Linked DNA regions of Oryzias latipes. The protein of the gene in region 1 interacts with the protein of each later gene in a pairwise test. Links are inferred from orthologs where the notes say so. Each region holds a gene or a part of one and is shown in the gene's direction. Other genes may lie near its edges.

Region 1 (3,500 bases):
TTAAGCTTTATTGTGTGAAGTGAGTTGTAATGCAGAGAAGGCTTTTGGTCTGTGGACCGGCCTCCTCCAGCCTCGGCTGTGATTCTTCTGCTTGATCTTTTTACCCAGCATCCTCTGGGCTGTGATGGTTACTCTGCTAAGGTTTTCTGTGGCGTTTTGAACTAAAGTGTCTTTGGTTTGATCAGAGTTCAATGTCTCTGTGTGAGCTGCCTTCTCATGGCTTTGGGTCCCTCTGCAGTTGCCGTTCAGTGTTTGGAGACGGCGTTTGACGTTTCCACGGATGACCAGAGCCTCGCCGTGCCCGTGACGTTACCAGAGATCTTCGCCAGCGCCACGGCACAGGTACTCGGTCTTTATTGCTGACACTTCATACTGGACTTTGGTTCATATCCAGAACTTGTTTTTAAGTCAGGGCACATATTTCATATGGTGCTTTCTATGTGTAATTGCTCCTGTTGCTTTTCTGTGACCAGAAAGTTATTTCTATTAAATCCCAGAATTAAAAAACCAAATAAATAAAAGTTGACTATTTATCCCACAATGGGGACGTTTGTTCTCCACATTTGACCCATCCCCTGTGGGGGCGGTGAGTAGCAGACACAGGGGATGGGTCAAATGGTGGTTTAACTCCCCAATCCAACCCCTTAATGCTGAGTGTCACGCAGGGAGGCATTGGTGAGCCTGGGTTTGAACTCATGAACGTTCAGTTACAGGGCTGACACTCTAACCACAAGGCCACTGAGCTGGTCCAAGGGCCCTCACTGGGTGATGTTAATTGCTCACAATTAACATTTGCCCCATTAACATTGCTTGACATAATTGTTCATTCCCCCCCCCCCAGGAATCGAACTGGTTTCCTGCATGCCAGTTGTTCACCTTACCAACCGAGCTACCCAGCCAAATAAGATGCCCAGTTTCTAAAAGTCCCACTCTGGTTATCTTTATTTATCTCTATTTGGTTTTAACCCAAATCAGAAAAACCTGTCGTTTTCTAGGACATAGTTTCTGCAGAGCAGCAGGACTTAAGCTGTGGGTTGGTCCGTTGCTGCAGAGAGAGTGGCGCTTTGTTTACACTCTCTCCCACTAGCTTACAGCCCCTCACTCCCCCAACTTAACAGTAGCGGTGCAACATAAATGGCGAGCAATATTGGAGCTATCCAGCTTTTGATCCAGACTCCAGCTTAGACGAGGAAAACAAAGACGGACGTGGATCCATTTGTCTCTAAGTGGAGCGGCGCAGGGAGCTTGTGGCCCGCTCAGAGTATTATCTACACCACAAAACATCTCTTTTTCAAATGGCTTTTTTTTATTTGTCTGCTCCTGATTCACAAGGATTTGAATAGGAAATGCAATTTGAAGCCTAATTTTCTTGATTATCCTCAGAAACATGCTACACGAACATTTTGAAATCACCAAAAACATTTTTATTTTTTTTATCAGTGTGGGTCTTTGAAGGCAAACCACACATTTCTGTCCCGAGCTTCTGCATTAAAGAATGAGTTGTTTTCTATAGTCTCTGCTATTTGTTTCCGCTGAGACTTTCAGATGATCAGCTTTTGGTGTGAATACCAGCCGGTAGCAGTTTATTGCTGATCCCTAATCTAAAAATGTTCTTTCTGTCCTCATTCTTGCGTGTATCCTGGATATTAATAATTTGTTCCGTAACCTTCTTGAACACTCCCAGTTCTGAGCCCAAAGGATCTTTGTTGGTGACTGAGCGTCGGAATCACTGCTGTGCTTCAGAAAGTTTGGACTGCTGAAATCTCCACAGTGACATGTTGTCTGACGGGACGTGGTGTCTGCTTCCTCTGACAGTTTCCGGCTCAGTCCCAGGTAAACAACAATTCCAGGACCAGCTCCCCGACGGAGGAGCAGAGGGCGGAGGCCGAGCGGCTGAAAAGTGACGGTGAGTTTAGAGATCCTCCCGTCATTTGGGCTCAGACTGCATAGATGTGAACAGCTGATCAGCTGATCAGCTGCAGCCCAGTCAACCTTCAGAAACCTCAGTGTTTTAGCTCAAGTTCCTGAACTACAGCCAACAAAGAAGGAGCACAAAAAGATTGAAAAATGCACAAACATACATTTAAAAGCTGGACTCAGGCATCCATAGAACAGAATAAACTAAGAAAAAAAAAAGAATTCAACCACTTAACAGATGATCAGACCAGCAAACACAGTACTGTCTAAACGTTTCACATGGACGGACAGATTTAGTGAGATGAACAGGACTTTTAAGTATCAATATTTAATGTAAATATTATCTTGATCAGGCTGCACCTTCCCTTACAGCAAGAAGGTCCCTGGTTCAAGTCCCGGCTGGGGGACCAGAGACAGAACATCCATGAGGGGCCTTTCTGTGTAGAGTTTGCATGTTCTCCCTGTGGATGCGTGGGTTTTCTCCGGGGACTGCGGCTTCCTCCCAACGTCCAGAAACGTGCTTCATAGGTTCATTGGTTACTCTAGATCAGGGGTGGGCAATTCCAGGCCTCGAGGGCCGGTGTGTCTGCATGATTTCCAGATAGTCTTGCCCTACTCATGGCTGATTACATGGTTCAGGTGTGTCCAGCCAAAGCAGGGTATGCTGGAAAACATGCAGGAATGCGGCCCTCAGTGCCCACCTCTGCTCTAGATTGTCCTTGGGTGTGAATGTGAGAGTGCATGTGTGTGTGATTGTGGCCCTGCAACAAATGTTGACCTGTTCAGGGTGCCCCCTGCTTTCGCCCGCAAGGGGCCGGGATAGGCTCCAGCAGCCCGTGACCCCGAAAGGGACAAAACCGAATAGAAAATGAATGAACAATCATTTTAATGTCTTTATATAGAAAATGGTTTCATGAATTGCTTGTTCTTGTAAAAGTTTCCGATCATGGTTTGAGACCCGCGTCTTTCTGCTCTGACATTAAAGCGAAGTTCAGAAACCGTCCACCTGATTGTCTCAGGAAGATCAGCAGAATCCCGTCTGCTCATTTCCATCCTTTTCTGCTGCTTCTAACACGAATGGTGAGCTCATCCCAATGCAGGACTGCTCCAGACGTCATAACGTTCAATCTCCTGCAGGAAATGACCAAATGAAGGTGGAGAACTTTGCCGCCGCCGTGGAGTTTTACTCGAAGGCCATCGCCCTGAACCCCCAGAACGCCGTCTACTACTGCAACAGGTGAGTGAGGCCGGATCCCCACCAACACTAGAATGAAAGAAGTTCACTAGGCTCACGAAGAACCCCGTCCAGACCTGAAGGAGGTTGTTTCTCCCTGCAGGGCGGCAGCGTTCAGCAAACTGGGGAACTATGCCGGCGCCGTGCAGGACTGTGAGCAGGCCATCGGCATCGACCCCAACTACAGCAAAGCTTATGGGCGGATGGGGTGAGACTGCAGACCCATCAATATTTTAGTCAACTACAGTGTTCCCTCGCTGTATGGCGGTTCACCAGCGGTTTCTCCGATTCTTTTCAGAGCAAGTTAACATGTTTGTTTTTAAACAGTGCTAGGATTGTCAATCAATCT
Region 2 (3,500 bases), on another chromosome or scaffold:
GATTTTTACACACAGATGCAGATTTTTCATGCACAAGTATTCAGATTCTATATTACAAGTTCTCAAATCAAATCTACAAGTGCGTTCTTTTTGACACATTTTTACCTTCATAAATTTGGTGTTAAATACTATTTAAATGTACAGTAATTTCAAACAAGTTCTTAGAGGGCAAACAAAGACTGCAGTTTTAAGACCTCTATAATGTGTCTTTTTGTTTTTGTTTTTTTTGTTTCAGAGCCCTATGCCAGTCGTGTGTCTATTTATGGTCAGGCTAATATGAGACTTTCCAAAGTGACCCGTACCGATAATGGCACATATAAATGTGAGGTGTCCGGCAACCAACAGTTTGGGGAAATCTCTGTTTCGCTGACTGTTCTGGGTAAGAAGTGGCTTCAACACATTTGGAAACATTTGTGGACAGATGTGTGGAAGCACAACCATAAAGCCAAAACCCTACTTCTGGTGCGAAAGCTGATGTTTTCATGTGGTGCAAATGAAATTGACATCATGTCTTGCAGTGCCCCCTTCTGTGCCCATGTGTAAAATCCCAACATCTGTGACGACCGGTAAGGCGGCCATATTGTTCTGTCACGATCCGGTTGGGTCCCCAGCTCCTACGTATCAGTGGTACAAAGACAAAACCCTTCTTCCTGCTGACCCCACCAAGAATTCTAACTTTAGGAACGCCACCTATAGGCTTGATCAAGCAAAGGGCACACTGGTTAGCTACAGCTAATTGAGTTTCATCATTCATTTTACAGCACCTTTTTATTATGAGTATGTTAAATGTCATCCTTGTTCTTCAGGAATTTCTCCGAGCTTCCCTGACAGATGCCGGTGAATATTACTGTGAGGCTACCAACAGCGCTGGTCCTGCACAAAGTTGTCGGGCTGTGAAAATGGAAGTTCGTAAGTACACAAAGAAGAAAATCTGTTTTTTCTTTTCTTTGGTTATGTATAGAGAAGCAATGAAGACTGCAAGAATAACAACATACTTAACAGTGCTTCTGTGATTTCTTTGAATAAAAATGTGTCATTTTTCTTTTTTCAAGGTGACTTGAACACTGGAGGTATTGTTGCAGGAGTGCTAGTGGCCCTGCTGCTTTTGGTGTTGCTGATAGTTGCTGTTTGGTTTGCCAAAAAGAAAGGATATCTGGATAGTAAGTTCCATGCATTTTCTCTGAATACATTTTAACATGTCAGTTTTCGTAGTTTACATATTAAGTTGATACTTTTAAAGACCCACTCCGATGAAAATTGGAATTTTGGTGTTTGTTCTTGTGGCCTTCTACTCATGATGGAGGACATACACAAAGAAAAATTTGGAGTATTTTTTCATTCAGATCATTGTGAAACGGGAGCAGACTAGGGTTGGGCGATGTCCCTTAAATTGGCCGTTGACGATGTTTGCTGTCAACCATCGGGATGGACGATGACATGGTCGGGGGGGGGGGGGGGGGGGGGGGGGTATTTTTACATTTTTCGTTCTTATGTAACTGCTATTCTTTTTTTTGCTTTTTTCATTTTATTTCCCAATCCGCGATGATCCAGTATAAACTGAGGGAAGTGACTTTAACAAAAAAAGTAACAAACAAAATAGAAGAGAAGTAGTCCGCTCCCGCACTACCGGGGGAGTGCGGACTTACAGCTTTGTGTTTGATGGGAAGGGGGGGGGGGGGGGGGGACATGAGCGGTATGTGTGGGAGATTTAAGACTGCGATCCGTCCCGCAGCTCTAGGGGTACAAGCAACCGAACTCAGAACCGGGTCTAAAAGTGTGTGTCTGTGCACAGCTCGGATCGTCAGCACACACAGCGGTTTGAGCTTCAAAGCAGAAATGTCGCTCAGTCCTTAGAAAACATTCAAACAATCACGTGGATTTGTGTTTCCAGTCGTGTCCCGACTAAATAAAGGCTGATGTTATTCTTACATGTTTACGTGCAGCCAGCAAGCAGCACCATCCAAAGCTAATGTTGTTAGCCCGTGTTAGCATACTGCTAATCCTGGCTTCGTTCAGAAAAAGCACTGACCACACGGATTAAAATTCAAATGATGAGCGAACAGGTGTTTCATAATAACCGTAACATTATTAAAAGCACGTTTAGAAGATCATCTCGTATTTTACCGAGCTGACATGTCAATGTATATAGCCGCTCGGCGCTATTTAACATTGTTTTGTATTGAATTGTTACATACAATAAAGTTTGGAGAAAAAAAAAAAGCCGCTCGGCGGAGTTTATATCCTTCCGTTTTTCAAACCCTACTGCGCATGTGCGAATGATTTATTCCGACGGAAAGTGTGACCTTAGTGAACGTTTTTATATTCTAAAAACATTTTTCTGGAACCATGTACACGGTTGGATTCTAATCCGACCATTGATCCCATCAAGATATTTTGTACATGTAACCGCGGCTTATGGTGTCGACGCGCAACGTGGCGGGGGCGTGGCATCACGATGGTGTCTCTCCATCGGGATGTCAGTCACCCATCACGATGGACGATGATATCGTCCATCGGCACAACCCTAGAGCAGACACAAAAATGTCATTTGAAAAAGCTTGTAGTTGTGACATAGATGCAACTAGGGACCACCAGTCCCTAGTTTTAATAGCTGTTGAATTTGAATGGAGAGTTTTTGTTTTGTGAATTGATGATGCATTTCACAAAAAATAACTTTTAACAAGGTGGTTTTAAAGGTTTGAATTAGATATTTTACAATTTTTTACTATTTTACTATTCGTGTTCTCGACTGTGAAAGTCAAGCATGGGGGGAAAATCTGTACACTCTGTTTTTATTTATTTATTATTTAACAACTTTACGCTCTTTTACCATGTATGTGATGAGTGTTTGATGAATGATGAAGGATGGTATACAGTTTGTAGCTCTGTGGCCCAGAACAAATTTCCTCTCTGAGGACAATAAAGTTTACCTTTACCTTTTTACCTTTACTACCACAAACTCCCTGCTCCGCTCCATTCTGAGGCATCCACTTGCAAACAAAAAGATCCATGTACATCTTTGTTTTCTTCGTCTGAGCTGGCTTCTGGCTCAAAACTGTAGGGCTGAATAGCTCCAATATTGCTCGGCATTTTTATTGCTCCACTAATATCAGGTTGGGGGTGTAAGGGGCTGTAGGTTAGAAGGAGAGAGTGTAAACAGAGGGATGATGGGAAGGGGTGGACTCACTCTGGGCCAGCAGTCCTGCCTACAACTTGGAGGCCAATTTCTGATGAACTCCTGCTGCTAAATAATAAAATAATAACAAATAATAAAATAAATAATAATAATAATAAATAATAAAATAAATAAAAAATTCGCTAAGAATTTGCATAACTATAATTAAAACCCCACTGGGAACGCTTTCAAATATATTAAATGATAAACAGATCGGTCTTTAAGCTGTCACCTTAGTTGCCCATTGTACCACAGTCTTCATGTCACATTAAGCATGTCACATCTTAGATGGATCAAAATATGACTGTAGTTGATCTTTAATTAT
Region 3 (3,949 bases), on another chromosome or scaffold:
ATATGATGTGGGATTTCAAAATAAAACCCAATTGAAATCTGGCATTAGGGCGTTATTGCTATATGCTTATCAGACTGAATAAACATTGAATCACCAGGTTTGATACAATAAATGAGATGTGAAATTACTTTGTGGAAACTAGGAGTTTTTCTTTTACACAAATGTCAACATTTGTGCAAGCGTGGGTTCTCTCCGGGATCTTTGGCTTCCTCCCACTGTCCAAAAACATGCTCCATAGGTCAATTGGCGACTCTAAATTGTCCCCAGGTGTGAGTGTGAATGGGTGTGTGATTGTGGCCCTGCGACAGACTGGTAAACTGTCCAGGCTGTACCCTGCCTTTATATATATATATATTTTTTTTTATATATATTGTCAGAGTATATATATATGTATATAAAATATATGGGGGGGGGGGTCGTGTGTGTAAATAGTATGTACAAATATGTAAAAAAAAAAAGGGGGCACACTGTTTTTGAGAGAGAGGTCACTTGACAGCCGTTCGATGAGAGAGGGCTGGCTTGACACCAGTAGTTGTTCGCACGTGCATTGTAATATATAAACCCAAGGAGAACAAGAGGTCACAGCTCTGCCAAAGGTGTTTGACAGGCATCTCATCCCAGACGGCAGAGGTGATAATTGGTAACACTGAGTCTTGTGTCTCTTAACTCAATTTACCATAAATCCAGTTCCTTTATCTTATAATGTAGAACTACAATACAAAATATTCCAATTTAGACCTTACAGCTAAACTCGTTTCTTTTCTGCAAAAAAAGAAAAGGTATAAAATTTATTGAAATAAAAGACGATGAATTAAAGTTTGAGAAAAAATAAAATAAAATAAAGCATATTGATCACACTGTATACTAAAATTGTGGCACAGGCCACACTTTTTCCATATAGCCAGATCGTTTGTTCTGTCCTATGTTAGATAATATTACTTTGTTTTTGTCCCCTCTAAAAAATATAATATAATATAATATAATATAATATAATATAATATAATATAATATAATATAATATAATATAATATAATATAATATAATATAATATAATATAATATAATATAATATAATATAATAATAAATCTTCCTTGTGGAGTCAAATGGTTGGAAAAAGTAGACTAAAACGTGCCAGGCAGGCACGCATGCATCTGATGAAGCTTTCGTTTCGAACATGAGAATAACCCCGAGTTGGAACTAAACCCCAAGTCAGGTCTCTCAGGCAAAAAGGAAATAAAATGTGACGTTCTCTGCCATTCTAATGAAAATAGGAAGGGAGGGGAGGAAACAATTTAATGTACACAACTTTTACTTTAAAAATAACGGTAAAACAAAGATTGTGGAGATGCGTAGCCGAGATCTTAAAACCTGGTAGTCAAAACACGGGGGTAAATATTCAGGGCGACGTCCCTGCAGCCAAAAAAAAAAGAAGAAAAACGTCACTTTCTAGAGTTGCCACGACTACACACAGCTTCATGATGTGGACGCTTGTTAGCTGCATATTGTATGTTTTCGCTTTGTCGAAGCTCGATTTGTGGGCCGTTTTGGCCACAGCAGATGAGCTTCTCAAGGAGGTCAAGACCGAAGTTGTGTCTAAACCCGAGCAGTGCACCCAGAAAAGCAAGAAAGGAGATCTGATCAACGCTCATTACGACGGGTACCTGTTGGATGGCTCCCAGTTTTACTGCAGGTACTATAAAAAAAAAATCACACCTTTCGTGTTTGTTTGCTTCCTTTCAGCTGATATAAAAACACAACAATAATAATGCATTTGTAAATAACGTGTTATGAGTGAGTTAATGATTTAATGGGCATGAAAGGTTTGGTTATTGCATCTGGCATAAGTGTCACTATATTTCTAACATTTTTTAATATCAGGAGTCCTCATATTTTTTTTAATTTGTTCTGCCACTTGTTACATTTAAAAATAAAAATCTCTTTTAGTCGGACTGACAAAGCTGGCCATCCCCAGTGGTTTGTGCTTGGTGTGGGTCAAGTCATCAAGGGCCTGGACATAGGAATGATGGACATGTGTGCCGGAGAGAAGAGAAAAATAACTGTCCCATCAGACCTGGCTTTTGGTAAAAATGGGAAAGGTAAAGCCATATATCAATTTATAGATTGCATTTTTCTTCCAAAATTCATTAAAGACCCCCTCCGAGAAAAATAAGAAAATTAAACATATAATTGCATTTCTGAGTATCTTATATTCAAATCATTGTGAATAAGGAGCAGGCAAAAAATGCATGTTTTGGAAAGGTTTGTAGTTGTTTCGTACGGACTACAATCTGCAGGGCACAAGCTCCCTGCTCCACTCTATTCCGCCATATCCACTTGCAGACAAATAGATCCGTTTATGTCGGTTTTCCTCCTCTAAACTGGCTTCTGGCTCAAAACTGTACAGCTGGATAGATGCAATATTGCTCACCATTTTTGTTGCCCCAGTAGTGTTACTTTGGGAGTGTAAGAGTTTGTAAGCTAGTGGGAGAGGGTGTAAACAAAGGCAAAGGATACTCTGCACTAACTGTCCAACTCAGAAAAATTTCGAATGAACTCCTGCCGCTTTGCAGAAATTATGTTCTAGAAAACGACACAGGTTTTTTTGATTTTAGCTAAAAACAGCATAATTAGGGGTGTAATGGATCACAAAACTGATGGTTTGAGAGTCCCGGTTCAGATCATTTCTAGGATCAGTAAAAAGAAAAAAGAAAAAAAGGAAAAAGATATAAGCCTAAAATTGTTTTTTAAAAGCTTCAAAGCATACATTTGAGAAAACATACATAAAGTACTTTAACAAAAACATATATATAAACATTAATGAGATATTTTAACTCAAGATATTCCTGTATATAAACATATACTCAAGATGCCTATATGAACAAAGTGCATTGTTGTGTATTGCAATTTGGGAAAAAAAAAGTATATTTAAAGAAAAAAAGTAAGAAGAGCAGGGGATATCAGCATTTACAAGTTTGAAATTCCTATACTGGGATCCCAGCTGCTATTAAGCCCCTCCCACTTGGAACCAACAGAGCAGTGGCTTTTTCCTGCCACTGTTCCAGGACGGTTCAGACGCTGCTGATCTGATGTGATCTCATGAACCCAGACATGGGCTGCTCATCGACGCTTTGTAGAACTCTACAAAATAAATAAAACAGATCTCTGAACGATGGCGTAATGAGGTCAAGAAAAACTTTTGACCTAGCTCCTCCCACACGCGGTTAGGGTTATAAACACACTTTTGGACACGCCTCATGCTGCAACTTTGAGGCATGTAACAAAGATGTGTACATGTATTTGACATGCGAATCACAATTAAAAGGTTTGAAAATGGATCAAAAAAGGACCAGAGGTGGACTTTAAGTTGTAGGTTTTATTCTTGTACTTTCCTAAAGCCTTTGAATGACAACTGCTTTCACGGCCTTGTTGTTCTCTTTTACAGCACTTTAACTTGAAAGGGCATTGTTTTCCTTGCAGTGTTTGCTCCTCATCTTCCAATGGCATGACCTGGAAGCATGCGCAGAGGTTGAAAGGTCTCTTATCACATCTCTTCCTTGCATGCATTGAAATTACTAACAAGGTTTTCCTCAAACCTTCTGAAGAAACATTTTTTCTGGTGTCTATGTTGCTGCCTGAACTCATTTTTTCACAATTTGTCTGTGGAAATGAGTGCAATTTTAATATGTGTATGCACTACATGCTTTAATGTTATTCATAAAATGCTAGAGGAAAACAGAGATCCAGAATCAAACATATTGTTTAACAGCTGAAAGCTCCTTTCGAACTTTTCTTTCTTGTGGATGACGATATTTTTTAAAGAAATTACATATCTAAAGGCAGTTTATACAGCTTTACAAGCCTTGTCTTGTAAAGTGGAACAGGATTTTATAATTCAAAGAATTTGTTGTTTTTGAAGTTGTGTAATTTCTTCTGTCCTCCATCTTTGGGA
Region 4 (3,997 bases), on another chromosome or scaffold:
TGCAATCTAGCCTCATGTCCTTGAAGATCGACCGATCAAAGAGCAGCCAAAGAGCCAATCATAACAGATACCCAGCCCTAAGTCGCTCCAGCTCCCCCCCAAAAAAACACCTTACACACCACTAAAGCTCTAAATGGCCCTACAGTGGGAGCAATAAGGAGGAGCCGGCGGGGTTGGGGAAGAATCCGGCCTTTTTTCGTGACAAATCAGAGCAAAAAACAAAAGTTCTGCATTTATATTTTGTTCAGTGTATACAGTATCCACCAACAGAGAAGTGGAGAGGACGTGATGGTTACACATAAACGGACGGAGCTCCTCACCGGGTTAACAGAAAACGATAACAACTTTCATAAAGGAAAACAGGACAAAACCAGGAAGTAAAGTCCTCATTGTCCTGTTCTAGTGATGATTTGAATGTTGTGAGCTGAGTCTCTGCTAACTTCACTCATGTCTGCTACTCAGTGATGGAGACTCCGTTAACAAAACCTCATCAGGACAAAGACTGAGACAGATGGGGGGATGGGGGGGGGGGGCAAAACAATAAGCAAGGTGGTTAAATTCATGCAGGACATAAGATTCAGACAGGGACGAGGATCATAGACAAAAAAAGAAGTAGCGCCTTAAATTATTAAAATATGTTACAGTCTTTATGAAATTCAAAGTGAAAGATGCTAATCTATGATACCAGCAGGAAAAGAAACAGCATTTCTGCAGAAAAACATCAACTGTGAAGGACGAGGCTACAGGGACCAGAATGAGATCACCTGATCACCGTGCAGCACAGGGAACTGCTGAAGTACCTGACTGAGTAGGTGAGCCCAACCCCGAATTCAAACTACAAAAAACCAAAACCTAAACTTTCCTGAACGAACGAACAGCTGGAGAGGAGCTGCGGGTTTTGTGAAGGAGACCCCTCTCCAAACCTCTGCGAACCTTTAACTGGGTCATGACAGATGCAGAATCAGCCTGTCTGAACCCACAGAAGCTCCAGCCAACCGGACCACAGAGACCAGTGAGTCTGAGTGATGGTCCGGATCCTCTCCTGACCTTCATTGATGAATGAGCGCGGAACTGCGGACGAGGAGCGTTTGTCAAATTGAATTCGGGAGGTGGTGGGGGTGATGCGGTGACACCCGTGTTCGTGACCTGCCCGTCATGTCCGCAGGAGGGGGTTGGGGGCTGCTGACGCCAGCAGGTAGCGGCGGGGTCGCCCATAAAAGCCGGCCGGTGCGCGCGGAGCGTCCAAACCAGTTACCAGAGCGCACAGATTCTGCTGCAGCCATCTCTCCCGCTGAAAAGGTAAGGCGCTGCAGGCTGGCCGCTCCGCTCACTCACCCGCAGCCTGGCTCCAGCTCATCCGCTTCTTCTTGCGCTCCCCAGATGCACAAGTGCTTGGGGATCCTCTGCGCGTCGCTCATCTTCTGCGCGGCGCTGTCGGAGAGCATCGGGCTGGTTATCGCGGTAAGCAGCGCGCGCGCGTCACTCAGGGTCCCGGACGGAACCGGCAGGGTGTGGAAATGAAAGAAAGGGGCCAAAGACTGAGCAGAACAAGAGAAGATCAGGGAACATGCCAGCCTCTTAATAGTTTAGATGTGGTCAGTTAAAAAATGGAGAAAATTCATACAAAAAATATGTGAAAAAAAAAACAACAACTAAGGAACGTTAAAGAAAAGGAAGTGACTTCCTTCACCTCATTTCTAAGATACGTGAGGTGAGGCCGGGGCAGAACTGGAGTCTTTTGATGCTGAACGTGACTTTGTGGGTAAATGTTGGCTGTGCCACCTGGTGGCCTTTCCTGCTTTAATGACCTCTTCCAAAACGCGCATCCAACAACGCTTAACCTGAAAATCCGAGCGCATGCGCATGTTGGCCGCACAACAGGAATTTTCTTCACTTTTTGTGCTTGGTCGCACTTAAATACGTGAAAAAGATCCCCTGAAAGAACAGCTAGAGAGCAAAGGAGAACATTGCTCCAAACACACAGAAAGTTTGTTTTCCTTCTTCAGAACTAGAGATGGATTTATGGAATTTACTGTACTTTTTTTGTTTGGAACATTTCTTCCATAACTTCCTATTTTATTTGATGATTGTGTCCAATGACTGAATGGTTTCAATGAACATTACAAGATTGATTGATTGATTTCAAGCATTGTAGTCAAAGCAATAAAGATTTTACACAGATTTATGAAACTCATTACAGAAATGATGAAATGCATAGATAAAAAAAGAAAATAAAACAGAAAAAAAGACACATAAGTCACATTTGCTTAATTAAATACAGTGATCATTAACTAAAGTATAAGTAGAGCTTGATTTACTGCTTGAAAAGGAGCGGAGGAAGTGATCTTATGTAATCCCACCCCTACTGAGTTAATTCATTTTATAGTTTTAGTAATCTGGTTCTGATCCGATAGATTCTTTTGAAGTTACTAAATCCAGTTCTAATTAATGATTGATTATCTACAGAAAACGTTCATTCATGATTTCAGAAAACAGTAACGATAATCGTTATGTAATAATAATTGATTATCATTAGAACACATTAAACCAGTAATTATTGCTACACATGCAGATCAATAAAGAAAATCAATAGTTATTGATTGTAATTCAGACATCTCAGTAATCATTATTGCACATTAATACTCATTGGTTGTAATTAAAAGAACTTTGATTTTTTCACCACAATCAGGTTGACAAAAGTATTTGGAATTATTTAAACACCTGTTGATCCTTTACTCCTCTTATCTTTATATCATGAAGTTAACACATAAAAATGCATAAAACAATTCCTTTTTTTAGAATACCGAACTAAATTACATCAATTTAAGTTAGCCTCAATGAAATACATCATTCAATATATACCTATGTTTTAAAGGTTTTAAAGGCTGGCGCCAGTGTTAGTCATCGGAGCTGCCATCAGTGAGTGAATGGGACTGCCATATAAGTATACGCCATTTACCATTTAAAATGTATTTTCCAAATGATTTAAAGGTTTTTTTCTAGCTAACTTTTCTGAAGATGTTTTAAAGCACCAGTTACACATCCTGATGGTTATGTTACTTTATAAGGTCCATCTGTGAACACATGAAGGTCTGTCACTGACAATCAGACCTGCAGCTAAGTAAAGGTGGGTGAGACCACAAAGAGTTAAAAAGAAGCCGCAAAAACTTAAATCAACTCAAATACTATACATTTGTAGTTTGACACAAAGTGAAATTAAATATAGCATAAAAATGAAAAATGATAAAAATAAAGATGATTTCACTGAGAGTTGATTTTACAACGGCTTCAAGAGGGACTTTCCCCCAATAGAACTGGGTGGGAATGCTAATAAATGTCCCCCCCCTTCACCTACAGAGACCTTCAGGAGTTCTTTTGGGTCACGACCAGAGTGCAGGTGAATTTCACACCTCATGAACCAGGAGGACCATCAGAGGAAACTGGCTCTGGTTGAAGTAAAGCCGTCAGTGTGAATGCTCCAGGGGGGTTTGGCTTTAGCTAATCTGCTGAAAGGAAAAACAAGCTCAAATGGAAAGAATCAGGAAAATGTCGGGAGGAAGCAACGGTGATGGCTTCTCTCCCTGCTCTGACTGAACTCACTCCTGTGAGGCTGACTTTCAGCGTTTGGATGCTGATGATTGAAGAAGAACAGCTGCTTCTTACTGATGAACTTACTTTCATTATGAAACTGAAGCAAGTTGCAGAAGACGTGCGACAGCCTCGTTTGCTAAAAGAAGCCATGTGTTTGTTTATGCTGACCATCATCCAGACCCACCCGCCACACTCGGACACCAGCTTCAGATCAAACAAAGCTCACAATCACCCTCTGTTTCAGGATGAAGACATTTCTCTTCTAAACCACAACTGCTCTGCTGCAGAACTGAGAGTGATGCTGCTGGGAGAAAAGCCGTCCTTTTGATTAGCTTCAGATTCTGCAAATAATCCAGATTACTTGAATAATTGGTTAATTAAATCATGGACCATTTAACCACCAGAG
Region 5 (3,277 bases), on another chromosome or scaffold:
TTTACCATTTAGCTCAGCAGGTAGTTAGTGGGTTAACATAATCAGTTTAGTAGGGAAGATGCCAGTCATTTAATAGTTAAATACTTCTTCTACTTGAGTCTGAAAAGAAAAGAAAACTAGTTGAGCTGCACGGTATTTATTTTAACTGTTGAAAATAAGGTGTGTCCACTATAAACCATGATATTCCAGGACTTTTTGTTTGGCAGTACCACCCTGGAATAAAAATAACCAATGTTCTGGATGTGTATGTGCTTTTACTTTGTTACAGTGCTGATTTATCAAATTGCTTTTTGTAGTAAGACATTTAAAGCTTTAACCCAACTTTTTTTTTTCTCCCAACAGCGACATACGTGGACAAAGATGACATATATGACAGCTCTTTGTTTACAGTTCCTCAGTATTTTAATGGAAGTTTCCAGATTTCCAATTTCTCCTTTAAAGAGGGTGCAGCTGAAGACCTTCAACTAAAGGTTTGAGACGTTCATTGTTCTTCCTATCCTAATTCGGTTTCTATTCATTGTGTTTGTGTCCTTGAAAAGATTTATTTTTGTTTGCATAAAAGGTCCTATTTAAATAGTTTTGGTTGATTGTTTCTGATTAGGTTTTAAACAATCAGAAAATCCTAATCCTTTCATCACACTCAACATTTTAGCTCACATACAACAACATATGAGTAAAACAATGAAATTTACGAGAAAATGTGTATTTCTCAGGAGAAACGCATTCTTTAATCTTGCGTAAGCCCTTTATGCCGTGTGTGGCTTATTTGCATTCTACCATTTAATCTAGGACTCCTAATTTAGCGTCACCTTGAACAATAAAAGCATTGAAGAGTATTGTTTTATGTAACTGAAAATACAATTTCTTTAATATCGATATTTTATTTCCATGAGAATCAGAGATGGTCGATTTGATTTTATCACAAAAACTAAAGCCTTAGTCACAACTGCCCTTACCAGTGGATACAGACTCCCTAGAAGGAAAAAAATGGGGCAAATCTGTATCTGGTTGTCTAATTTCCTCATTTCTAACACAAGTGCACACTAATCACTTGAACAGCACTAACGGGCTCCTTGTGCAGTGCACAGGATTCATGGGGTTGGAAAAAAGGCTGGCATCTCACCTAATTTACTCTTATGTTGTAGAAGTGTTCGCTCTGACTTGTTGCCCACAGCGGGCCTGTAGAAAAGTTGTGCCTGAACGGTTTTACCCTATGGTTTCACGGTCTGCAACTTTGATATTTCCTGCGGGCAACCTACTGTGTATGGAAGCGATTATGTAGCATAAATAAAAAGCAAAGTCAAAACCAGAAATGCTTTTTCATTTTCAAAATGAAGCTGCATTTTTTGACTCAAAAATATAATGAAAAAGCAATCCACCAAAATGCTTTTTCATTTCCTTCCTCAACACAGCTTATTCTGTCACTTAATTAAAATTAAAATGAAAATGGTATTTGACATTTCATTTTCAAAAAGGTCCCTGGTAAATGTGTACCAAAATTCATTTAGAAATGTCTCATTTGACAATTAAAATGGATTAACAGAAATGCTTTTTAATTTTCAAAATGTAACTGCATTTTTTGACTCAAAATTAAAAAGAAAAAGCAATATTTCAAAATGCTTTTTCATTTTATACTTAAAACCGCTTATTCTGTGTCATAATTCAAACGAAAATGCAAAGAGGGGATTGCATTTGCATTTTAACATCCACCCCGCGCAAGTTGTCACAATATTCAATTCGAAAAAGCATTAGCAGAGGGGAGGCGGGGCGATGACGTCACTGCTTTCTCCGTGTGTCCGGCTGCTGACTGACGCACACGCACCAGGAGCAGACTGTTAGCGGCAGAGACAAGGGTTTTGTGATGGTTGTGAACTTCTGATGAGTTTCCACAGCTTCTCAGGACTAAGTAACTGCATGTCCGCCTTCTGCGGTCCTCCTCCTGACGCACCGCGGACAAGCTTTTGTTCTTCGGACCGCCAGCTGCCTTCGCACAGCGGAGCGCGAAGCTCCGATGATCGCTGAAGGCGGAAATGCTGCTACGATCTGAGAAACCATCATATGAATTTGTGTTTCCAGTGGTGTCCAGAACAAAATAAAGACTGATGTAATTCACAGATATTTACACCTTGATCTGCAGCTTCGCGGTGAATTTACTGTTTGATGACACCTGGAGCTCCATCATCAGACAGCAGATTTCTCGATGCTAAACGTTGCTGGTTGGACCAAAAACACTCACTCAGCGCGAAGCTGCAGGAGACTATCTTCATAATGTGCTTTTATAACAGTTATGCTAATATTTTACGGCCTGCTCTGCTCGATTATGTTTTTAAATCCGTGCGGTCAGACGACGCTAAAGTTGGCTTACGATTCACAGCTTCTGATTCACGAGGGAGCTAAAGGAACATTCTGCTGCATTTTTCATATTAAGATTACGTAAAACCGGGTCCTGTTCACAAACCGCTGGACCTGGCCTGCTCAAACCTGGATTCCTGGATCTTAATAAAACAAACAGCAAATTCACCGCGAAGCTGCAGATCAAGGTGTAAATATCTGTGAATTACATCAGTCTTTATTTTGTTCTGGACACCACTGGAAACACAAATTCATATGATGGTTTCTCAGATCGTAGCAGCATTTCCGCCTTCAGCGATCATCGGAGCTTCGCGCTCCGCTGTGCGAAGGCAGCTGGCGGTCCGAAGAACAAAAGCTTGTCCGCGGTGCGTCAGGAGGAGGACCGCAGAAGGCGGACATGCAGTTACTTAGTCCTGAGAAGCTGTGTAAAGTCATCAGAAGTTCACAACCATCACAAAACCCTTGTCTCTGCCGCTAACAGTCTGCTCCTGGTGCGTGTGCGTCAGTCAGCAGCCGGACACACGGAGAAAGCAGTGACGTCATCGCCCCGCCTCCCCTCTGCTAATGCTTTTTCGAATTGAATATTGTGACAACTTGCGCGGGGTGGATGTTAAAATGCAAATGCAATCCCCTCTTTGCATTTTCGTTTGAATTATGACACAGAATGAGCGGTTTTAAGTATAAAATGAAAAAGCATTTTGAAATATTGCTTTTTCTTTTTAATTTTGAGTCAAAAAATGCAGTTACATTTTGAAAATTAAAAAGCATTTCTGTTAATCCATTTTAATTGTCAAATGAGACATTTCTAAATGAATTTTGGTACACATTTACCAGGGACCTTTTTGAAAATGAAATGTCAAATACCATTTTCTTTATCATTTTAATTAAGTGACAGAATAAGCTGTATTGAGGAAGGAAATGAAAA
Region 6 (4,108 bases), on another chromosome or scaffold:
AAAACACCTAGTCATTAGTTCATCGTATAAGTCATTAACTGCAAAATGGTTGACCAAGTTGTTATAATGTGACAAACATATTTCTATACATCTCCATTATATGTTTTTGTCTAAATCTGTCCTGAATTGGTTAATTGCTCTCAGGTGACGTTTGCATCACCTGCCAACGTATGTGATAGTTTGGGACAATGTGAGTTTTCATCACTCCAACATCATCAGGCAATGGTTTGCAGCCCACAACAGGATGCGGATGGAGTTCATTTCACCCTACTCTCCATTCCTTAACCCTATTGAGGAATTTTTCTAACCATGGAGATGGAAAGTTTATGATCGCCAGCCACATACACAAATGACCCTACTGGCTGCCATGGATGCAGCATGTGATGACATCACAGCAGACGCCTGCAGAGGCTGGATAAGACACTACTGTAAAAGATTCTTTCCATGCTGCATTGCAAGAGAGGATATTCGCTGTGATGTGGATGAGAATTTGAGGCCTAACATACAGGAACAACAAGAGGTGTAGGAAGACCACACCAATTCTTACTGCACTGCCTGTACTGTTTGATAGAATATTGTCCTATCTTTTTTTCCCCCTTTGTGTTACTGTTTGCAGTGGGTTTTTTCTATGTTGGTATGACATGGTCTGTCAACAAATTACAATATGAACAACAAAAGTGTAAATGTGAATCTTGTCCAGTCTCTTGTAATCAAACAAAAAAGGTGTAACTTACATTTTATAATAATTGTCATCAAAACTTTAGCCATAGTTTCCATCAGAACCTCACTCTAAAGTACTCAGTTATATTGACAACATGACTAAGTAATTTGACTGTCTTGTTCGTAGACAATGACACAAGGACTTGACATTCTGATGGCACTGACATGTTCAATGACATAAAGACTTAGTTTTGAGAGATGCACTAAAGATTTTGAGCAAGTTACAGGCTTTTGCAAGAAATCCATAGTGTTTTGCTGTTTGTACAAATTGTTTTGAGAAATGCACACACGTATTTGCAAACTTCAATTCTGATCTGAGAATTGTACTAAAGCGACTGAGAAAAACTGTATTATCAAAGCTAAAAACTGAATTGTAGTTGTTTATATTGAATTCGAAATTACCAATTGTTTTATTAAATTGCATGAACAATTTGCAAACTGAATTGAGAATTGCATATCACTTTAAATTATGACTAAAAAAACTCCCATTAACGTGACAAACCTGTTGAACGTGGAAAATTCCCTCTGACGTCACGCTGTCCTGATTGGCGGAGAGTAAGCCCCGCTGAAATATATGGGAGCGGACGCGCCGGTGAGAAAGTTAAACACGTTCAGGAGGCGGAAGAGCGGAGCTGTGGTCGGTCCCGTATCTTGAGGAATTTTGATTCGTCTGGACTTCTGGGAAGTTCGGGAGAGACGGCAGAGACAGTCACGTGGGCTTCTCCCCAAACGCGAGGTCACCCGGTAACTTAAGGCGAAGCGCCGCTGTCCGTCCGAGCTTTTTTACCACCGGAGGCTCCGTCATCATGTTCAGTCTGTGCCTCGTGCTCGTGCTGGCGGCCTCAGTCCTTTCTGAGTCGGTAAGTATTTTTTTTTGTTTGTTTGTTTTCCCCCAGTGAACCTGTTTACCGGTTTTCGTACCTCATTTGACGGGAATTTGCTACAACAAGTGCGTGTTTTTCCCGTGAGCCATTGCTGGTTCTGCTACTCTCTCGGGGGCTCCCTGAAGGCCCCCGCAGCCCTGCTGCCTTGTTTTGTCCCACACGGGGGGGGGCCCGGGCTCTGGGATCGTTGCTAAGGCAGGCACCTCCCGCGCGCTCCTGCACGGTTTTCTGTTTGACTGTTTCTGAAATGCTGTCCTAACGTTACACGTTGAACTTTTGCCCGCGTGTTTTATCAGAAACTTCCCAGAAATTCCCGAAAGGCTCCGTCTGCGAGGCTGTGATTCCTTCCGGAAGTACTTCAGGCTGGTTCCCCGGCTACAGGCTTTAAAACGGGCTCACTCTTTTTGGGCCCAGCAGCGCTCACTGGGGCCTCCCCCTCTTTATTTGGGCTTTATTAAGGGGAGTGGACCCCCTTCTATATCCCGGGATACACTAGGGTTCGAGTCTACTTTCATGCTGGACTCCTCCTCATCTGCTTCATGAGCTCACAGCGGCCTTTGGCCTCATCTCACAAACAACAAAAACGTCACCAACAGATGTTTTTGTTTGTTTTAATGCTTTATGTCAACAAATCTGTAGCAGCTGAGAAGCTCACTGCTGGTTTTGACTTTCACTGTAAATATTTGCTGTAATGCTGTAGTAAGTAGACCCCCCCCCCCGCCCCCATACCTGTTGTCCCAGCGTCTTTCTGGGTAGACTAGATCATGTTGTTTTGACAGTAAAGGAAAGCTTGGATTGGTTTGGGTTGCTGGGGGTTCTGTGACAAACGGGCCGTTTGAGTAAAATTCCAGGTATGTTGACTTTTGTCTACATCAACCGGTGGAGTGAAAATGGAAATGATGTACTTGTTAGTTTTTTTTGGTTTGCTATTTGTTCATGTTTCGCCAAGTCATATTGTTATCGCAATGTTGCTCACTGCTATTGCACATCGCAAGCTTTCCTCATGTCTTGCAAATAGATGGTGCCAGTGATCACAGCCAGAGACTTGGTTTGTTTACATCAACACCAAATATCCATTTGTCAGTAGTAGGGATGTCCTAATCAGATTAATCATGGGTGATAATTAAGGATGGGGTAAGAGCGTCTTGCCATCCATGGCGTTAAATGACCGATGTGTTGCTCTACCGCACACGGTGTGACTCTGTCAGCAGAAAGTACATTGTCTTTACACCACGGTGAAAACATGGCAAGTACAGCGAAAAGTAGGTTTGGTTTTGAATGGACTGGATACACTTTACATTCGCTCACATGAATTCTGGTGTAGGTCGTTTAATTTGGCCCAACTTCACGAAAAAGTGCTCCAGATCACCCCGGCGTCCGACCAGAATTTTAGCCCATCTAAATGGATTTGGAACCAAGTTGCGTAAAGACTCCGGCGGCTTCACCTGTGCTGGTCCGGATGCAGTGTGAGCCCAGGGTCACGCTTTGGCTGTCTGCGCCTCCACATTTATGAGGACCTTTATGGTTTCAGAAACTTGAGGTTTGAAACAGTTCGTCTCTTATCTTCTTATAAGGCTCTCTGGCATTGACTCCACTTTTTAAAGGGCAGTATCTGCTGATCATCTTCCATCCTTTTTTTTTTTTTGTGGGAATTTGACCCTGGGTGGTCTTCACTGAGGTTTTGGGGCCATTTCACCCGCTTTCTCATTAATTTATTCTACCTATTTTAAAATGACCTCCTGGTTGTGTTCTTACTGTTGTTGTTTATGCTTTCTTGTCATGTATGAGATTATTTTTGTTTACATTTTTTATTTGATGGATTCGTAGCCTCTGTACTATGACCCCCCCCCCCCCCCCCCCCCCCCCATGGCTTTTTCTTCTCCCCACAGACACTAAGGTCAATACTGGTATGTGGCCTTTCCCATCTAATTGGTAACAATGTTCCTCTACTCCACAACAGAAAATACTCTGAATGCTAATAATGTTTTGAAACGCTCACGATAGGAATTTGATTATAAAATCTAAGGAATGTTTGGTATGTCTTTTTTTTTTTTTTGTTACCAAGAGAAGATGTGTGTAATGAGACGAGGCTTGCATGAAGCGTTGACCAGACTGACTCCATTTATAGATCTAAGTTTTAAGCAAGCAAAAACTGTTCCTGCTTTGGCCTCCACTCAGAGCACCTTCTGCCCATGTATGGTCACAAGTTTAAACAAGCATGTTATTGCGTGGCTGTAGATGGGAGGGGAGGTGGAAAAGCACAATAACTGCAACTTTATACTTCAGTTGTCCCAGTCTGAGGTTCTTCTGATGGGAATCTTGTCTTTGAATGTTGTCTTATTGCTGCTTTAGGTTTGAATAGAAATGTGATGTAGTCAAATGCCTGTCCTTGTTTGTTTCTGGCCAAGTGATGCAATTTCCATCCCCCCCACACTTGTCAGTGAAGACTTCAAAAAGGTTCGTAGTTTTATCAGATCCACTGTACAGTTTGTATGACAATGAGA
Region 7 (3,500 bases), on another chromosome or scaffold:
TGCTACCTCTACTCTGGACAGTTCCACATCAACCAGCTATTCTCTGCACCACAATTAGAACACAGCAACTCCACCAGGACTCCGGGAATGTCCAAGCCATGGGGGACATCAAGCAGCTGCAAATGCATGCAAGGCTGTGTTACCTTCCACGAAGAAGACTTCCTGAGGTTTACAAAAATGCATGTGATCTGAATGAGTGTGAATGTGTTTCCTTCAGGTGTGGAGCTCTGCAGAACATCACTATGGTGAGGCAGAGCTGCGTCCTTGGGCTCTATTTCCCTGGAGAAATCAAGGCAGGGGTCTGGCCAGAATGAAGAGGGACTGGATCATCCCTCCAATCAGAGTGTTGGAGAACAGCAAGCAAGTCCCTGAAGATCTTGTTCAGGTAAAAAAAAAAACATTGAGTTATTGCAAAAGCTATCTACATATATCTCAGTTAAAGAAGAAAATGTTGTGCTATTTTCCCTCACGTATTAGCTTGACGGAATTTTTATAGTTTGCTTGATGTAAACATAATTAAAATGAATGTGAATTGTCTTGTGGTTGTGTTAACTCAATATTGTTGGATTGTATTTTATTGGGTGCTGCACAGTGGTGTAGTGGTTAGCACTCTTGCTTCAAAGCAAGAAGATCCTGGTTCAAATCCCTGTTGGGTCCTTTCTGTGTGGAGTTTGCACACAAAAAAGTTCTCCTCGTGCTTGTGTGAGTTTTCCCCAAAAGTCCAAAAATATGCTTCAAATGTTAATTAAAGATTTTAAATTAAAGTGTCCCTAGCTGTGACCGTAAATGTGTGTGTTGTAAGCCCTACAACAAACTGAAAACTCTTCCTGGATATCCCCCACCTTGCCTAACAGTAGCTTGGATAGGGTCCAGCAACCCCATGCCCCTAAAAGGGTTAAAGTGGGTTTGGAAAATGGGTGAATAGATGTAAAAACACTCACTGCTTTTATTTTGAAAAACCTAAGAATAAATGTTCTAAAAAAAACGAAGCATTGCTTAAAAGTTTAGACCACATAGTTTTCAAAAAATATCAATTGTTCCCAAAAAATAACACTGGCTGCTAACACAATTTGATAGTTTTATTTAAGATTTGAGTGTTGGTTGCAACTTTCTGGAGTTGCACTTTTTACATCTGCTGATCCATCAACATAGCAAAGACAAAGCAAAAAAAATGCATAAAATGACTCTTTGTTATTCTTAGTTTTGCATCGCAGAGGCCTCTCTGAGTTCAAACACTCTCATCTCCAGGTTTATGTTCCACATCTGGCATTGAAGAAAAGGCATTGCAATATTCCTCCATACCTTCCCAAGAGCAGTCACCATCTTTTTTTTCCTCCTACCCAGATCAAATCAGACAAAATCTTCTTGGGTGAGGTGATCTACAAGTTGGAGGGTCCGGGAGTCGACCAGGAGCCCAAAAACCTGTTTGAGATTGATGACAAAATAGGAGTAATCAGGAGCAAGCAGCCACTGGACAGAGAGAAGCACAGCAGTTTCACGGTAAGACATCATTAAAGAGCAATCAGGGAGGGGTTTATTACAACAAGCTGCAGTGCACAGTAAGACCTCTCACATGTTTTAAAGCAAATGTTTCTGTTCTGCATCGTATATCACCGTGTCAGACACAGTACAAACAGCCAAGGGGCAATTTCTCAAGGATTTTATAGGCATCTTGGGGGATAGTTCTTCCAAATGTGTCACGGATGAATGACCAGCACTTTTCTTTCTGCCAGCATGTGTTGTGGTCGTCAACCACATTCACCTTGAATCAAATTGAGTAAACTGTTTAGTTCACCTTTGTTTAACTAAATTAACAACCCACTAAGAGGACAAACTTTTTGACGTTGGCGACTTTGATCTGCAAAATCATCTAATGATTTTTTTTCTTTTTCTTATGTATATTTGTGTGTAGCTTAAAGCCTTTGCACTGTCTCCCAGCGGGGAGAGGCTGGAGAACCCCACAACCATTGAGATTGTGGTTCTGGATCAGAATGACAACAAACCCATTTTCACTCGGAGGCAGTTTGTTGGCTCCGTCTCTGAGTTCGCTGTTCCAGGTACGGCTCCATACAGGCCTAAAAAACATCCTCACATGAGCTGAAAAACATCCCACTGTATATCATCATTAACACGTCCCTATTTTTATTTTTGTTTATTTTTATGACAATACCATGAGTGGTTATAAGACTCCTTTTTATTTTTTTTCGATAGTTTACTGTGTTACTTGTCCTTTTTATAAATCAGAAACAAATGTTGTACCTTTTCTGCCTCAGTAATAACAAGAACAACAGATACCACGACAGGGAAATTCCCTTCACAACACTTTCTGGTCTATTAAAAATCAATTAGTTTAGCTACTATTTGATTTACAGTTACCCGGTATTCAGACTGGGTTTCCAAATTTCCAAAATACAAAACATAAAATAGTACTCATTTGTTTGAAGGAAAGACGGAGGTTTTGGGATTTGCCAACAGATTTTCACTTAAATATCCATAGACCACCAAATCTAAAAAGGTTTGGGGAATCTTGGGAAATTTAAACCAAATACCATGTTAATTTGAGAACTCAAGTCTAATTTACTGAAGTAAGTTTTGTAAAAGATTGCGCACCCTAGGGGTAGTTTTTTTGCCCCATACTTCCACTTTTACTTGAGTTGATTCATGTTTGAAAAAAAAATCAAGTACAATAATGTGTAAATTATTCATGTTGGCTTGAAAATATATTAAGTAAAAAAACAAGACTTTGTGTTATTTATTCATTTCAACAATGATGTTTAAAATCCAGTAAATAGTTTGTTTAAATGCTTGAAAGTATCTTAAAATTGATAAATATTCCAAAATCCTGCACCCTTTTATTTATTCTATGTATAAGGGAAAGCCTTGTTGGTACCAAAAATGCTTTACGGAATAATCATTCTTATTCACATTGTCAAATTTCTGCTTTATTGTCTGCAATTGACAGAATTTGCACATTAGTTTTACCTTGTTTATTGGCAGAGTTCGTATGTATAATTTAGACTATAAATTAAATATGTTGAAACTGTTACTTAGTTCTTGAGAACTGTTTCCAGCAGTTACTCTTTACTTGTAATCAAATACATTTATTACAAATACATTTTAAATACATTCTGTGACAGGGACGTCGGTGATGTCAGTGTCAGCCACAGATGCTGACGACCCATTGACAGATAATGCTGCACTGAGTTACTCTATAATTGGTCAGGAGAGCATTCCCGCCAATGCTGTCACCAAAACTATGTTTGGGATTAATAATGAGACTGGCACCATCTACACAAGAGATGTAGGTCTGGACAGAGAGGTAAGTGAGGATACAGATTTTTGCAGATCCCTTCAATGGGGTTCTTCTGGCTGAAGTATGCTGCTCTCTATTCTAGGTGGTAAAGGGTTTCAGGTTAAAGCTTCAGGTCGCTGATATGGGGGGCATGGGATTAACCACCGAAGGGGAAGCATTTATTAATGTGTCGGACATCAACAACCAT

The links.
Region 2: the proteins of sgta (region 1) and junctional adhesion molecule A-like interact in binary tests that used the Homo sapiens proteins (3 or more experiments, as listed by UniProt). The two-hybrid records come from large-scale screens. The link is inferred for Oryzias latipes from reciprocal best matches to the Homo sapiens genes SGTA and F11R.
Region 3: the proteins of sgta (region 1) and peptidyl-prolyl cis-trans isomerase FKBP7 interact in binary tests that used the Homo sapiens proteins (3 or more experiments, as listed by UniProt). The two-hybrid records come from large-scale screens. The link is inferred for Oryzias latipes from reciprocal best matches to the Homo sapiens genes SGTA and FKBP7.
Region 4: the proteins of sgta (region 1) and gal interact in binary tests that used the Homo sapiens proteins (3 or more experiments, as listed by UniProt). The two-hybrid records come from large-scale screens. The link is inferred for Oryzias latipes from reciprocal best matches to the Homo sapiens genes SGTA and GAL.
Region 5: the proteins of sgta (region 1) and c13h3orf52 interact in binary tests that used the Homo sapiens proteins (3 or more experiments, as listed by UniProt). The two-hybrid records come from large-scale screens. The link is inferred for Oryzias latipes from reciprocal best matches to the Homo sapiens genes SGTA and C3orf52.
Region 6: the proteins of sgta (region 1) and syndecan-4 interact in binary tests that used the Homo sapiens proteins (3 or more experiments, as listed by UniProt). The two-hybrid records come from large-scale screens. The link is inferred for Oryzias latipes from reciprocal best matches to the Homo sapiens genes SGTA and SDC4.
Region 7: the proteins of sgta (region 1) and cdh15 interact in binary tests that used the Homo sapiens proteins (3 or more experiments, as listed by UniProt). The two-hybrid records come from large-scale screens. The link is inferred for Oryzias latipes from reciprocal best matches to the Homo sapiens genes SGTA and CDH15.

Annotation. Positions count from the first base shown.
Region 1 is NC_019862.2:5,204,953-5,208,452, forward strand, and holds part of sgta (small glutamine-rich tetratricopeptide repeat-containing protein alpha), read left to right. Parts: intron 1-238; coding exon 239-342; intron 343-1,815; coding exon 1,816-1,906; intron 1,907-3,054; coding exon 3,055-3,154; intron 3,155-3,254; coding exon 3,255-3,359; intron 3,360-3,500. UniProt on the Homo sapiens protein: Co-chaperone that binds misfolded and hydrophobic patches-containing client proteins in the cytosol. Mediates their targeting to the endoplasmic reticulum but also regulates their sorting to the proteasome when targeting fails.
Region 2 is NC_019872.2:15,489,459-15,492,958, reverse strand, and holds part of junctional adhesion molecule A-like, read left to right. Parts: intron 1-235; coding exon 236-379; intron 380-518; coding exon 519-721; intron 722-806; coding exon 807-909; intron 910-1,052; coding exon 1,053-1,160; intron 1,161-3,500. UniProt on the Homo sapiens protein: Seems to play a role in epithelial tight junction formation. Appears early in primordial forms of cell junctions and recruits PARD3.
Region 3 is NC_019879.2:16,565,193-16,569,141, reverse strand, and holds the start of peptidyl-prolyl cis-trans isomerase FKBP7, read left to right. Parts: upstream 1-1,149; 5' UTR 1,150-1,295; coding exon 1,296-1,690; intron 1,691-1,944; coding exon 1,945-2,096; intron 2,097-3,442; coding exon of another isoform or gene 3,443-3,533; intron 3,534-3,949. UniProt on the Homo sapiens protein: PPIases accelerate the folding of proteins during protein synthesis.
Region 4 is NC_019864.2:4,848,331-4,852,327, reverse strand, and holds the start of gal (galanin peptides), read left to right. Parts: upstream 1-1,197; 5' UTR 1,198-1,299; intron 1,300-1,380; coding exon 1,381-1,461; intron 1,462-3,997. UniProt on the Homo sapiens protein: Endocrine hormone of the central and peripheral nervous systems that binds and activates the G protein-coupled receptors GALR1, GALR2, and GALR3.
Region 5 is NC_019871.2:7,044,998-7,048,274, reverse strand, and holds part of c13h3orf52 (TPA-induced transmembrane protein), read left to right. Parts: intron 1-342; coding exon 343-470; intron 471-3,277. UniProt on the Homo sapiens protein: Has a role in LIPH-mediated synthesis of 2-acyl lysophosphatidic acid (LPA). LPA is a bioactive lipid mediator involved in different biological processes, and necessary to promote hair formation and growth.
Region 6 is NC_019863.2:6,148,141-6,152,248, forward strand, and holds the start of syndecan-4, read left to right. Parts: upstream 1-1,308; 5' UTR 1,309-1,526; coding exon 1,527-1,580; intron 1,581-4,108. UniProt on the Homo sapiens protein: Cell surface proteoglycan which regulates exosome biogenesis in concert with SDCBP and PDCD6IP.
Region 7 is NC_019861.2:17,636,270-17,639,769, forward strand, and holds part of cdh15 (cadherin-15), read left to right. Parts: intron 1-217; coding exon 218-385; intron 386-1,344; coding exon 1,345-1,500; intron 1,501-1,912; coding exon 1,913-2,057; intron 2,058-3,137; coding exon 3,138-3,319; intron 3,320-3,395; coding exon 3,396-3,500. UniProt on the Homo sapiens protein: Cadherins are calcium-dependent cell adhesion proteins. They preferentially interact with themselves in a homophilic manner in connecting cells; cadherins may thus contribute to the sorting of heterogeneous cell types.